Diceros bicornis minor: one gene and its partner. The protein of the gene in region 1 interacts with the protein of each later gene in a biochemical or structural test. Links are inferred from orthologs where the notes say so. Each region holds a gene or a part of one and is shown in the gene's direction. Other genes may lie near its edges.

Region 1 (6,959 bases):
GTGGGTGGGGGGCTGGCTGCTGGGGAAACAAGATAGGCCCTGGGATGTTCCTGGGCCTGGATGGCGTGGCAGGGGGGCTGGGGGACAACAAGAGGATCGGAATGCAAGGATTATCCTTTCTCTCTAACACCACTCTCCCGCTCGGCTCCCTTGTGCTCTCGCTCTCTCGCTCCTGCTCTGGATCTCTCAAAGTCAGGATAAATTTGCTTTTCTCTGCTTGGCCAAAAAGCAGACCATCGTGAAAAGTTACGTTGTTATTTTTAAACTCAGGAGGCTTTCCTGTTAACATAATTTTCTTTTAATCCAGATGGTAACTGACATTTATCAAATGGTTTCTCTGTGCTCCAGGCACCTTGCGAAGTCTGTTATGTGAATTGAGTTAACTTCCGAATCCTCATAGCAACCCTAGGAGGCAGGCGCTATTGTTCCCCCATTATACAGCTGGGTGAACCGAGGCGCAGAGAGGTTACCCCCCCGCCCCGGGTACACAACTGGAAGTAGCAGAGCTGGGGTGTGAAACCAGGTGGGCAGGCTTCCGGAGTCCAGGCTGCTAGCTCTCACCCGAGGCTTCCTCCAAACAATCTCGAAGCCTTTGCTGGTAGCCTCGGCTCCCAGACCAGCATCTGACGTACTCCCAGCCAGACATCCCTTGCCTGCATGTTTGTTTGCATTCATTCATTCAGCAATCAAGCAAGCACTCACTGAAGGCCTGGTGCAGTCTTGGGGTCTCCTTTGGGGGAGGAAGCAGGGAAAATCAAAACCCCCCCCGCCCAGCATGGATCACAGGAAAGATAAGGCTAAAGAGGGGGTTGTGGGAGTTCAGAGGGAAGCTTATCTCTTCCAGGTCCTGGATATGGAGAGCACACTGTCTCTTCATCTTGCACGAGAAAAGATGGCATCCCAGAGGAAGGGTGGTGGGTGAGCAGCCTGGGAGATGCCTTAGCCCGGCACCTGCACAGTCAGCCCTCTGTCCACCCTGCTCTGTAGCTATTGGCTGTGCTTATCATTATTCATTCAACAGGTACTTATTGAGCACCTGCTGTGTGCCAGGCTCAGGCGGGCTCAGGTGAGATGCACAGAGGGGTAAATGATCCTCGCTTCAGGGCCCTGCCATGGCTGAGGGGGGACAGGGTAGATGCTGACCAATCTGTTGTTTTCATATGTAAATGAGTAGCACCAATACCTGCTGCCCCCACCCCAAGCCTCACTTGCCTGTTAAAATCCCCCCAAAAGATTTGAGAGTGGATTGAAAACTAGAGAAGGCTGCTGCGGAGGAGCAGCATTTTAGACCTGGGAAGAAAGCAACCTCCTTCATCTCAGCTGACGTCGGAGGTAGCAGAGCAGTGCAGTGGCTCTGCCCCTGGAAGGCCAGCCCTGGGGACACGGGCAGCTCTGGGGAGACACAGCCCGGTGTCTGTGGCTCACTCTGCAGGGCCTGTGCACTTGCCGGTCACTCCACCTGGGCTGCCTTTCCCTGGGAAGCCCTCTCTTTCCCATCCTTCCAGGACTCAGGTCAATGGCGTATCCCCGGGAGATATCCCTCCCACCTCCCTCAGCTCATCCTGTTTATTTACTCCTGTCACTTGTCACAGGCTAAAATGATCTGGGTCGTACACTCTCGGATGGACACTGGAGGCCAGCCAGTGCTCCTCCGACTGCTTCGGTGGGTCCCTGTGTTAGTTTCCCACCCTCCACATTTCCTCCCTGACCCTCCCGTGTGCTCCCTCTGCCTGGCTGCAGTGGTTGAGTGCACGCATCCTTCCCTGAGTGGCTCGACCGACAAGCACTGCCTCTCCTCCGGCCCCCAAAGCGTGTGTAAGTTCCTGCTTTGTCTCCCCGGGCCTGAAGGCCAGCTTCGGGATGGAGGCCACCGTGTGGCTCACGCACTCTGCACCCTCCAGCCTGGCGCTGTGCTTGGCAGCGGCATGGGCCACATGGTTTGTAGGGCCCAGTACAAAATGAAAACAGGGGCTCTTTGTTCATAGATTATGAGGAATTGCAAGACGGCAACAGCAGAGCATTAAGCCAAGTGTGAGGCCCTTCTGAGTGAGTGCGGGCGCCTGGGCCCATGAAGCCCCCCTGCCTGACACCCAGGAAGTACCCCACAAGCCTTTGTTGAAGGAAGGAGTTAACAGACGAAGGGCAGGTGGAGGGGTTTTCAGAGTGCCTTGACTGACGGTGGGCAGAGGCCCAGCTCTGGGTGAGGGGGCTCAGGACCTCTTCCGTCTGGCAGCCTGGGGCCATATAACAGGGTCAGAGGATGTGGTATGAATGGCTAGGACCTTGCAGCCTTGCATTTCTCTTCTCCCTGCCTGGCCTCTGGCCTCTCCTATCTCCACCCATGTGGCCCCTCAGGCTGCCACTTGTCCAAAAGCCCCCAAAGGGCCGCATGGCAGAGCCATCTCTGCTCTAGAAAACTAGAAGACCAGGTTCCTCTTTACCAGCTCTTGGAGCTTTCTCTCACCCCCAAGTGAGGCTTAGCCAGACTCTCCCAAAGGAAACCTCTGTCCCCAAACTCCCTGGGGCGATCCTCCATGTAGCCCATCAGAAGGGAGCCACTGGTTTGTGGGTTTGCCTCCTGGGGGGGCACCAGAGGGGAAGGAGGAAGGTTGAACTTTAACCCCATGGTCTTCACTGCCGCTCTGGATGAAGTGTTATTTTACTCCCATTTTTACGGATGAAGAAACCGAGGTTCTGAAGAGCAGTAATTCACTCAAGTCCCACAGCAGGTTCTGAGGTGTCTAGGGTGCCTGTGTCCACACGCCACATGAGCCGGGCTCTGAATGACGGGATAAAGGAGGCAAGGAGCGGCTGACTGTCTGGGGGGGTCCCAGGCACAGACCCTCAGAGGTGAACTGGATGCAAACTGGGTGCAAGCCCAGCTGCACGCTCCTCAGACACTGCCAGGCAGGGGCTGATGGGGAAGGTATGGGGTGGTGGGCCCGGGGTGTCTGGTCTCAGGCTGAGAAGTGGTTGGAATTAAACGGGTACCCAAAGGGGAGGAAGTGGAAGGGAATTCTCCAGCTCACACAATTTCATGTATTCATTGGATAAATAATGATTGTCTAGCCACAGGGGCTACCAGGCCCTGGGTCCTAGGCATTGCGGCTAGAAGGGCAACCTAGGGAGGCCAGCCTGGGCCCCCAGGGTGCTCCATTTCCAGTGAGGGAAACAAGACAATAAAGAAGGCACAGATGACTCAAACAGTAATTGCAGACTGTGAGAGGCGTTAAAGAGAATAAAACAAGTGTGTGTGTGTGTGGGGGCGGGGCAGCGGGAGCTGGGGGAGGTGAGGTGGGGAAGCGACCTTAGCTTTGCTGGTCCAGGAAGGTCTCTGGGAGGAAGTGGCACCTGAGTGGCACCTGGAGGGGAGAGTCGCCAGCCTAGGCACTGATGGAGGAGAGGGATAAAGGGAGTGGAGAGAGTTCTAGGCAGAGAGAACGGCAAGTGCAAAGACAAGCTTGCACAAGCACGGGGAGGCGCGGAGGGGTCAGCGTGGCTGGAGTGAAGGGCGGGGGCAGAGGGACGAGAGGGGTTTGGGGGTCACCTCCTCCGGGAAGCCTTCTCCGATTCCTGCCCATTCCCCCAGTTTCTTCCACCGCAGCCTGAATCCCACGGGTCCCGCTCAGGTCTCCTTCCCAGTCTCGACTGCAGTCCGGAGAGGGCAGGGCCGGCTCAGATCCCTCCCTCCGCATCCCCGCGGCGTCCGGCCGGGCGCTGGGCACCCTGTGGGCACTCGGTAAATATTTGTGGAGCGCACTGGAAGGAATGAATGAACCCATTGGGTGCAGCTGGGGGGAGGGCGGGGCCGAGGGCAGGTGGGAGGCCGCGGGCGCGGGAGGGGCCCCTGGAAGCCCGTCCTCCTCCTCCTCCTCCTCCCAGGCCCCAGCGCGTACCACTCCGGGCTCCCGAGGCGGCCTCTCGTGCGATCAAGGGCGCGCAGAGCTGGGTGAGCGACCCGGGGCCCCTGCTCTCGGCGCCGGAGTTCGGAAGAGGGTGGGTCGCCGCCGCCCGAGGGCGAGAGCGCGAGAGGAGCGGGAAGAAGAAGCGCTCGCCCGCCCGCCCGCCGCCTCGCTGCCTCCCCGGCGCTCGCTCTCCCGGCTCCTAGGTTTGCTGGCAGCTCCTCCCACCCGCGCCCGCCTCCTTGCTCGCTCGCTCGCTCGCGCCGGTTTCCAAGCCCCGCGGTGTGCCCGGGAGAGTGCGGGGCGAGGGGCCCCGGGGCCAGCGCCGAGCCGGCGGTTGGGGTCCGGGCAGAGCGCAGCCGGCCGGGGAGGGGCCATGTCCGGCGCGGGCGCAGCGGGGCCCGTCTGCAGCAAGTGACCCAGCGGCGTGGACCGCCCGCCTGCCCCCCTCCGCCGCCTGGGGCGGCGCGGGCCCGGGCGCCCGGCGCCCCGAGCCCGGGTCGCGCGTAGAGCCGGCGCGATGCACGTGCGCTCGCTGCGCGCCGCTGCGCCTCACAGCTTTGTGGCGCTCTGGGCGCCCCTGTTCCTGCTGCGCTCTGCCCTGGCCGACTTCAGCCTGGACAACGAGGTGCACTCGAGCTTCATTCACCGGCGTCTCCGCAGCCAGGAGCGGCGGGAGATGCAGCGCGAGATCCTCTCCATCTTGGGCTTGCCCCATCGCCCGCGCCCCCATCTCCAGGGCAAGCACAACTCGGCGCCGATGTTCATGTTGGACTTATACAATGCCATGGCGGTGGAGGAGAGCGGCGGGCCCGACGGCCAGGGCTTCTCCTACCCCTACAAGGCCGTCTTCAGTACCCAGGGCCCCCCTCTGGCCAGCCTGCAAGATAGCCACTTCCTCACCGACGCAGACATGGTCATGAGCTTCGTCAACCTTGGTGAGTGAGGGCGGGGGGGGGGGGGGCGCGCGTCTCGGTCAGGAGGCGCTTTGGGACAGGGAGCCACTTCTTACATCCAGCCCGCCGATCTTTCCACTCCTGGCCATTTGTGAAACTGCAGTGCCTGGCAACGGGTCTCCTACCCCAGGTCCTAGTGGACCCCCAGCTGTGCGCGCCCCAGGTAGGGCGGGCGGGGCTCATCTGGCCTCTGGGAGTTTTGGGGAGAGCAGGACTGGTCCGAAGCCCCTCGGGGTTAAGTCGGCGGCCGCACCCCTGGAGTAGGAGGCGCCGGGCCGGCCGCGGCTCAGTTCAAAGCGCGGGGCCGGGTCATGTGAGCTGTGCCCGGCCGGCGCTCCCGCGCTACCTGGATTTAAAAGGCCCTGCTCGGTGGAGCTGCCTTCCCGCCCTTTCTGGGCCCCTCTCAGCCCCGCCTGGCCCTGGCATCGCGGGCGTCGCGCCCCCTTCCCCGCCCTGGCAACCCTACCTGTCCCCTCGCGGTGCGCCCGCCTTAGCATGCTGCGTGCCCTGAGCGCCTCCGGGCTCCTCTCCTGGCCGCCGGGCGCCCCCCTAGCTCTCCTCTCTCCTGGCTGGAGCTAGAGAAGAAACGTTGCCATTGCGAGCTTTCTATTTTAAATATTTAATGATAGGTCCCGGACGGGCAGAATCCATTTTCAGCGTTTATCACGTGTAGCGCGCAAACCACGGCTTTTGGCGATTGGGTGGCGCGGGATCTCCAAGCAGACGCCGCCGGGGGCGGCTGGGGGACCCGGCTCCCGCCTGGAGCCGCGACAGCCCCGGGGGCGAAGTTGCTCCCCTTCCATCTGTGCCCCCACATTCACCAGACTTGCTCAAACTAACCCCCGGCGGCGCGCTGTAGGGCTGATGATCAAATATTTGGTTTCCGAGATAACACGCCCCGATAGCGCTGTTTCCTGAGCCGCGTTCATTCTACGCGTGTAACTTGCTGCGAAAATCCGAACCAAGTCAGGACAGCAAACTCACGCCCACGGGCGCTGGGTCAACAGGAGAATAATGATCCTGAGTCCCCCGCTGGGCACCTGGGGCGTGGATGGGGGCGCCGGGAAGCGGGGATCAACCTTAATGCCTCCGGCTCCTGATGAAGTCCCTGGAGTTCTCGGGACGCCATTGTCTGTCCTTAATAATAGCCAAAAATCAAATAGTGAAACGAGTTTCAGCGAGCAAGGGGGTGGGAGGTTTAGATGCCAAAATAACTTCAAGAAAGTTTAAATTATACTAAGCAACCTCTTAGAAGGAGGCGGCTCCATATGTCCTGATTCAGAACAATCTCCAAGATGTATGAGGTGGAAAAATCAAGGTGCAGATCAGTGAGGTTACTTATGTGCTGGTGTATCATCCGTTCCCACTGGAAGAAGACACCTTGAACTGGAAATAGATTTTAGGGCTGGGAGTGGTGGGGCGAAACTGGGGCTGGGGCTTTGGGATTGGGAGCTGGGGTCTGATCTTTCCTTGTCTGCACTTTTGTCTATCCATGTGATGTTTTTTTTTTTTTTTTACCTTGTGTATTTATGGCCTATACCAGAAACTAAGGAAAGATTCCAAATACATACATATGAACAAGTAAATTAAAGCAGAGTTCTATAGCCATCCTGAAGCCAGGGTTTAACATGGCCCTTTCTCTGGCGGGGATTCATGGCATCTTCTGTTCTGTTGGGTACCCGGGACTCCGAGTGAATGCAGCAGGTCCCGGTGGTGGCCTCCAGAGCCTGGCTGGGGTCATTATAAAGGTATTTGTAAGCCCTGGCTTCTGTGGAAGGCTCTGCAGACCCAGTGCTGCTTCTTATGGACCAGCAGCATGGTCAGACCTGGGCGTTCCCCCTCCCCAGAGAAGGACCAGGTTGCTGACTGGCCGCCTCTGGCGACCTGGGGGCAGGGCTCTTTGCCCCCTCTTGGTGGGGGGAGCAAGCTGGGACTTGTTTGGGGCAGCTGGGTGGTTTTCCTCTGGCTGTACACACACCTTTCAACCCCGTTAGACCCATTTCTTTCATCTTGAAAGGACAAAGACCAGCTTGTCTGAGCCTCTTAATCAGTTGGGCTGGCTTTGGGCTTTTGTGGGACAGTCCTGACTTTCTCAGGTCTT
Region 2 (7,993 bases), on another chromosome or scaffold:
TGGCAGAATTGAAACTCCTTCAGCAGGTCCTAACATTGTTTTTTCTAAGTCTCAAGCAATCCGATTGCTTGGCATTCTGAACCTGTCTTTCCTCTAGAGGCTGAAACAGGATATTTTTGAGGTACAGTATGACCTCAGAGAGTGCTTTTAGCTTGGTTAATGTTAACATGTGAACAGAATTATTTTCCACACTTTAGTGGGCTTAGAGCAGAAATACTGTATTCTGTAGGAAGATAAGTACAACCTGTCTCCTTGCAAGTTGATAGCATTAAAACTAAATGACATATTGAGATTTTTGTGAATTTTGAAATACCCTTTTGCAAATTGGTGAAGGAGAAACATAGAGTCCTTTTTTGTAACCAAAATATGCTGATGTTAAAAAAAAAGATTCTCATATTTCAAATAAATAATTTTGAATTAGCAATTCTTAAAGAAATTATAATTCTCCTTAAGCATGTTTCTTATATGTATGTGTAACATATGGGTATTTATTATGTGTGGTGTGGGTATGTGATACTTATATGCTATTCTGTTAATACTGTTAATACAATAGCAATGTGTAATGTATAGAGCAAACCACAAGTAAAACATTATATTAAGTGCAAACTTAGTTCGGGTTTGCAAACTACAAAAAGTGATTTCAACAGTCTGCTAATAGTCTTTTATTAATACAACTATCATATTTTCTCTTTCAAAGTTGGTTGTAGATTGCAAAAACTAAAGCAGAGAGGAGCTCTTGATGTAATTTCCTCATCACTGTGACTCCAAGAAATTTTTATCTCAATTATAATATATATTAAAATTATCTTTATATGTGAAATAATTTTAGTCAGCCTTCTATTACCCAGTATATGAAAAATTACTCCTCAGAGCCAGATTTCATCTCTGGATAACCCCTTGATATATCTTTATTTTGAATAAGAATCAATAGTATGATCCATAAAACCAACCTTATTACTATCTGTTAAAGATAAATGTTAAGCTACCTTTACACCTTCTACTATGAGCCTAAATTTGTCATTTGTTATTCAAACCCCAAATTACGCAATCTTTTAGCCATTGCCAACATTTCTTCTCTAGGCTGAACTAAAATTTTCCCTTTATTTTGAATTCAGAAGGGCCAAATTGCATAGTTTTCACCACTGTTCCTGTGCTGCCATTAGATTCTTATATCCCAATGGAACTCACATCAAAAGTGCTATTTCATTGACTCATTTTCCAATGCGGGTCTCTCAAATGCTTACAGTCATGCAAAATATCCTTGTGTATGATTGATCTCATACAGCTTATTTCTTCATTAGCTTTATAATTGTTCTATTGAATATCCTTCTGTGCATTTTTTATACATGATGGTGAAGTTTGAAAATGAAAAACAACTGTGCCACATCAGTAATAGAATACATAGTAGTGTTCTGAGTTATTTTCAGTTAATATTATCAGTTAGCATATATTTAATATTTTCTCAGTTCCAAATGCACTTCATATTTTTTTTTTATCTTTTAATCCTTTGGAGGTAGCTTTATGTTATTACTATTTGCAGATGAGAAAATTGAGTCTTAAGAGAGTTAAGAAACTATCCCACAGTCACATAGCAAGTAAGCAGAGTTGGGATATGAATGCAACAGACTTATGTAATCTAAAGTTTTATGTTTATGAAAGGAAGTATTGAAATTGAAGGGATCGTTTAGATATTCTGGTTCATTTTTTGGTGATTGGCGTCTGGTTTACAGAGACTGCTCTGGGTAATGACTAGTAGTAGTTGCATAATAATTGTTGAATGAATTCCAGAGCTCTGAGTTCAAGTTTGGCATTTAGACTGGATACTGATAAATGATTGAACCTTCTTGGACTTCAGTTTCTCAGATCGAAAAATAATGAATTTAGGTGTTGGAAAAACTGGACATCCACATGCAAAAGAATGAATTTGGACCCTTGTCTTACATTATACACAAAAATCAACTCAAATTGGATTAAGGTCTTAAATATAACCCTGAAACTGTATAACTTCTGGAGGAATACATAGGAGAAAAGCTTCATGACATTAATCTTGGCAATGCTTTCATTGATATGCCACAAAAAGCACTGGCAGCAAAAAAATAAATAAATAAATAAACAAGTAGAACTACATCAAACTGAAAAGCTTCTGCACAGCAAAGGAAACAACAGAGTAAAAAGGCAGCCTACAGAATGGGAGAAAATATTTGCCAAACCATGTATCTGATAAGAGTTGATCTCCAAAATATATAAAAAACTCCTACAAGTCAATAGCAAAAAAACCCCTAATACCCGAATTGAAAAATAGGCTAAGGACTTGGATATTTCTCCAAAGAAGACATACATACATGGCCAATAGGTATATAAAAAAAGTGCTCAATGTCACTAGTCATTGGGAAAAAGCAAATCAAAACCACAATGCGATATCACCTCATACCTATCAGGATGGCTGTTGTCAAAAAACAAAAGACAAGTGTTGGCAAGGATGTGGAGAAATTGGAACCCTTGCATACTGTTGGTGGGAATGCAAAATGGTGGAGCCACTGTGGAAAACGGTATGGAGGCTGCTCACAAATTAAAAATAGACCTACCATATGATCCAGCCATCCCACTTGTGGATATTTATCCAAAGAATTGCAGTAAGGATCTCAAAAAGGTATTAGCACACCCATGTTCATTGCAGAACTATTCATAATAGCCAAGATACGGAAAAAAACTAAATGTTCATCAACAGATGAATGGATAAAGAAAATGTGGTGTATACATACAATGGAATACCATTCAGCCTTTAAAAAGAAGGAAATTCTGCAATATGTGACAATATGGGTGAACCTTGAGGACATTATGTTAAATGAGATAAGCTAGTTAGAGAAAGAGAAATACTGCATGATTCCACTTACATGGGATATTTAAAATAGTCAAATTTGTAGAATCAAAGAGTAGAATGGTGGTTGCCAGGGGTTGGGTGCAGGGGGAAATAGGGAGTTACTAATCAACAGGCACAAAATTTCAGTTAAGCAAGGTGAGTAAATTCTAGGGATCTGCTGTACAACATTGCACCTCTAGTCAACAATGCTGTGTCATACACTTAAAATTTGTTAAGAGGGTAGTTCTCAGGTTAAGCGTCTTACCACAATAAAATAGCATTTAAAAAAAGAAAAGAAAAAGAATATGAAAAAAGAAAAATAAGTTTAGGTTAACTATTCTTTCAGACGCAGAGCTTTTTGTTCAAATGAAGTCTTTTCCAGAAGCTATTTTTGTAGAATAGATAAAATCAGACATGTTCTTCTTGGAGATGTAATAGTGGGAAGAGGGAGTGGTTATAAAACTTCTTTTGCTTTGTTTGCCCCTACCCCTAGGCAGTTTGAAATCTACTAGATGAGATGATCTTTCATTTCCAAGATAATTTGGATTCTAGATCTCCTTAACCAGGCTCTTCTGAAAGGTCTGGCTCATACTTGGACTGAGCCTTAGGAAGATCTACAGTATGGAGATAAATAACATGAGAAGTAAACTACTCTTGAGTGGGGGTTGCCTTCGGCACTCAGTTGTTTCCAGTTATTATGGGATCCAGTTTAGGGATGTTATGTCTTGACTAGCATACGCTGTTTTAGGGACTGTAGTATTCTCTTTCATTTTTGGAAGAAATTCCTTTACCTTCTGAGAATAATTTTCCTTTCCTCCCTGCCCTTAGGCGTTTAAAACATTTACTTGAAGCATGTGTATTACTCCTATTTGGCAACTGTAGTTACTTGTCTTTACTTTTTCTGGGACAAGCAAGGTAAAGTTGGAGCTTTAGCATTACTGAAATCATCCTATCAGCTGAAATATTTCCTTATATAGTGTCTTCTTGCTCTAATATTTCTAGGCAAAACTTAGTGTACTCATAAATTGGGGAATAATAATATATATATTTTTTGCTTTACGTTTTTCTTTCTCAACATTACAAAACTCGGAGGAGATAAGGAAGATGTAGGAGCCTTTTGGGAGACCTAGTCCACTGCTACCTTAATTGGAATAGGGACACTTAGTGGCATTTTGCTTCTTTTCATTGTAAATATATTGTTCATCCCACCATAATCTCTCAAAACAGACTATAAAAAAGGGCAGAGGCAAAGTCTCAGATATAGGATCAGAATGTATCTCAGACTTAACTGATGGGGTGGACTATTTGGCTGCCTCCCCAACGTTCATTTGCCAGCTTCTCTCCTACCAATGGTCCATGGTTTCCTTCTGAGTATCCATGAATTTCCAGGGAAGCTGACTTCACCTCCTGCATGCAGTTGAGATCAAGACAATAGGGTATTTCATCCTTCTGGCTCTAGTGATGTGTGCTGGGTGGGTATGTGACCTAAGCCGATTCAATCAAAGTGAATCACAGAGCTTTCACTGAGTGTTTTAGAACAACAATGCTTTCTTTTTTGGTGAACTTGAGCAAGGGGAGTATTTAGCCTCAAGAATTGCTGGCCCCTGTGTTGAAATAATGAGCTAAAATGGTATAGTGGAGAAATGGATCCTTGGCTATTCTGTTGAACTGTTGGATCATGCCTTACCTGAAGCTCATACCTTACTTTAGGCTTATTCTTAACTTTTTAGTTATGGGAGCCAATAAAACTTCTTTATGTGCAAGTTAGTTTGAATAAATCATTGCCACTGAATGAATTTTGCCTGACATATCAAAGGCTTTGGTACTTTTGCCTGCACTTTCCTAATTTAGTTTACTTTCCTAGAAGTAAAATCTCCTGTCTGCTTAGACCTTAGTTTCCTTGCCTATTGAATGAAGAGTTTGTATTGGACTCTACAAAATATCTGTTGGATCACCTTTTTTCTCTGCTTCCAAGAAGTGGAACTCATGTCTGTTAGATCAGAAACTTATCAATCTCCCTCTTCCTATTCATAAAGACCTATCCTCCTGCTATCCAGACTCTAGGAATGTGGATTCCTGCAGTACCATACATAAAACAGCATAAATGTCATATATACTTTTAGTCAATTTCACAATCTGTGATTACCACTCTCCTTTTTTAACCCAGAAATAAATTTTTTTAAAGATGCAAGTTCTGAGAAAGAAATGGACATAGGAATGATGAAGAGTGATTATTTCCCCATTAATTTTCTTGTTAATCTATAATTAAGAAACAACATATGACTACAGGGAAGCTAAGAATTAATGACGCCAAAGGTAAGCAGTCTGTCCCAATATAAATCAGTTCATTTTGCTGTTGTTTTTTTAATAACACACTGGCTTCTTAACCTTAGCCAGCTATATCCTAAATGTTGTCAGTAGTTAAAAAAATTATGTGAGAATAGTTTCACAGATCAGCTCCAATCTTTTACCTAGTGTTAGAAAAACAACTCAGAGCAGATGTCTTAATATTCTAAATCCATGTCAAATTCACATGTAAAGAAAAGCACAGAAGTGCTTCGAAACTTGGACATGGTACTGGGGGAATTTTAATGAGAGATTGGATATTCATAAGGACTTTAACCATCGATTCAGAAAGATAAGGTAAAGAACCAAGTGGGTTTTTAAGGCTGAATGGGTGGTGGTGATGGTGGGAGGTGTTGGTGAGAAATAACTTTTATTGGATTGTGCCAAACGGTGACAGGCAGTGATCAGGGCTTTATAAGAATTCAGTGAATGGTAATTTGCAGCAATCCAATTTCATGCAGCAAAGATTACCTGCAAGGCACAAATTTCTTTTTCTTTTTTGAAAGTGACAGCTTTGATATGTGTGACTCAGTGATGAATGACTGTGAAATACTGTTTATGAAAAATAGGTGTGCTACTCCAGATTGTGCTGCAGGACATTTAATACTTTTTCTTCTGAACAGATGTTTTACAGATTTTGCAAATTGTGTATGAAACTCTTTTTGGTCTTATACATAAAGAAAAATTACATCATATTTAGGCCTTATATGGCTCTAATTTTTCTGTTGTGCTTGCTAGCCATACTTCAGCAATGAGTTTTCCTGCATTCTGAAGTATTACTTAAATTAAAGATATTTAAATTTTACAATTTTTATTTAAGGCCAACCATAATATTAGCCTAGAGGAGTGTGCCCTGGAGTTCAGATGCATCTGCCATTTTGAATGGATGCTCCGGGGACCTGTCTTATTTTGTTTCTCTCAAGAACACCTTGTTAAATTTAGTGATCATATCCAAAGTCAGCAATGCATGCTGAGTTGCGTGAGTTATTTGGCTATACATTGGGTTGCATTTTTTAAAGCTATCACTATTTTCATGGAATCTTACAGTGTTATATTGATTTATAGTTTGTGTGTGTGTGTGCGTGTGATGGCTACATTTGCTTTTTTACAGTTTAAAAAAATAGTTTTAAATAGTATCTTTGAATGGTGTTCATAAGATGAAAATCTAGTAGATAAAATTTAGAAAACAGATGACCTCAAATTAACTTATGTGTTGGCTTTTAAAAAAATATGTTTAGTTTAAATCATTTTGTTTTATTTTGAAACTTAATAAAAGGATAATTTTTCCTGTGGTAGAATAATAGGAGTTACTTTTAAAAAGATATTTCCTATCTCAAAATTCACCTAATATTTACTTTCTTTGCTTGAAAGTTATTTGTATGTAATCCATTCATCCCAAGTTCTTGAGTTTCACTGACAATAACTAGTAAACTCAGATGATCTGGACACAGCTAGTTCAGGTCACAGATGTAGTGCACGAGCAAGGGGCAGTGAGGGCCTCTCATGGGCGGACCAGTTCCTTCACTCACTATGGGTCACTGATGAACTGATTTGTCTCCACACCTGCATTAATGTATTAACATTTTCAGTTAAATTCAGTGAATACTGACACTATTACTATGATCAGATCATTAGGTGCCTCTAGATGAGAAATAGCTGTGGCCCATTTTCTGTTCCTCATGGAGCCAATGAATTACTAATGGCATAATGCAAAAGTAAAAATAAACAATATTCAAGACATAGAAACTATACAAGACACAGGCATTCTGTGAGGGTTCTTAGAAGGGCAGGGTCAGAGGTGGATGGAGAAAAATAAAATCATTATGAAGGAACCAATGTTTGAGGTCATTATTAAAGCATCAAGCCGCTTTTTTGGTGAGAGGAGATGGGGGCAAGAGGCACTCAGTTGGCGGAAATGGCTTGAGTAAAGATAGGGAGATAAGACCCTAGGAACTGGAGGAGAAACGAAGTTTCAGAATTGTATGCCTTAAATAGGTTGTGCCTGAAGAAAACTGCCATGTAATGAGTCTTAAATGTCAGGTCAAGAAGTGTTCACTTAATTTGCTAGGCAGAGGGGAACCATTCAAGGTTGAAAAGCAGTAACTTGGAACTGGGCTTTATGGAGAGCAGTTGGAACTCTGCTTAGGAAGAACTGGAATGCATTCGGAAGTTGCACAGATAATAAAGGGCTGAACTGCATTGCGGCAGAAGTAATGGAAAGAAAGGGATAATTCCTGGCACGTTGAGTATGTGGAATCCATTGTATTTGGCAGCTCTTTGGATACAGAAGATGAAGGAGACTGATGTTAAGGGTAGCTCTGAAGTGTTGATGCTCAGTGTCTCTGGAATGTTGGTTATTTTATTAACAAAATTGGGAAGTCAGAAGGCGGTGCTGTTTGTGGCGAGAAAACGTAGGAATTAGATAATATAGACTTCACGTTTGCTTTTTTTCCATAGCTCCAGCGGGAAAAAGTCTCATCTGATGATTAAATGTGTGGGTTTTTTTTATATTGGTATCTGCAAGTCATTCTAATTGGTATGTGAAATTCTTTTATAAATTTCTTAGTTTGGAGTTATGTGCAAAAAAACCTATATTATTGTGCATAATGGCAGACCAGTTACATTTTAATCTTGGTAATCTAAAAACAGTTCAAAGTGTTGAGATCTCAGTCTACTTTCTGATTAATCTTCTGATTAATCTTTCTGATGGATCCACAACACTGGGTGGATCCATCTCTTGCTGTGTTGTCATACAAATGAAGTGAAAGACCTGAATTTTTTTCTAGA

What was found. The genes of interacting proteins can lie anywhere in the genome.
Region 2: the proteins of BMP7 (region 1) and BMPR1B form a complex in vitro, tested with the Homo sapiens proteins (2 studies listed by BioGRID). The link is inferred for Diceros bicornis minor from reciprocal best matches to the Homo sapiens genes BMP7 and BMPR1B.

Annotation. Positions count from the first base shown.
Region 1 is NC_080758.1:6,231,638-6,238,596, forward strand, and holds the start of BMP7 (bone morphogenetic protein 7), read left to right. Parts: upstream 1-3,958; 5' UTR 3,959-4,422; coding exon 4,423-4,840; intron 4,841-6,959. UniProt on the Homo sapiens protein: Growth factor of the TGF-beta superfamily that plays important role in various biological processes, including embryogenesis, hematopoiesis, neurogenesis and skeletal morphogenesis.
Region 2 is NC_080747.1:78,225,781-78,233,773, forward strand, and holds the start of BMPR1B (bone morphogenetic protein receptor type-1B), read left to right. Parts: upstream 1-4,987; 5' UTR 4,988-5,139; coding exon 5,140-5,176; intron 5,177-7,993. UniProt on the Homo sapiens protein: On ligand binding, forms a receptor complex consisting of two type II and two type I transmembrane serine/threonine kinases.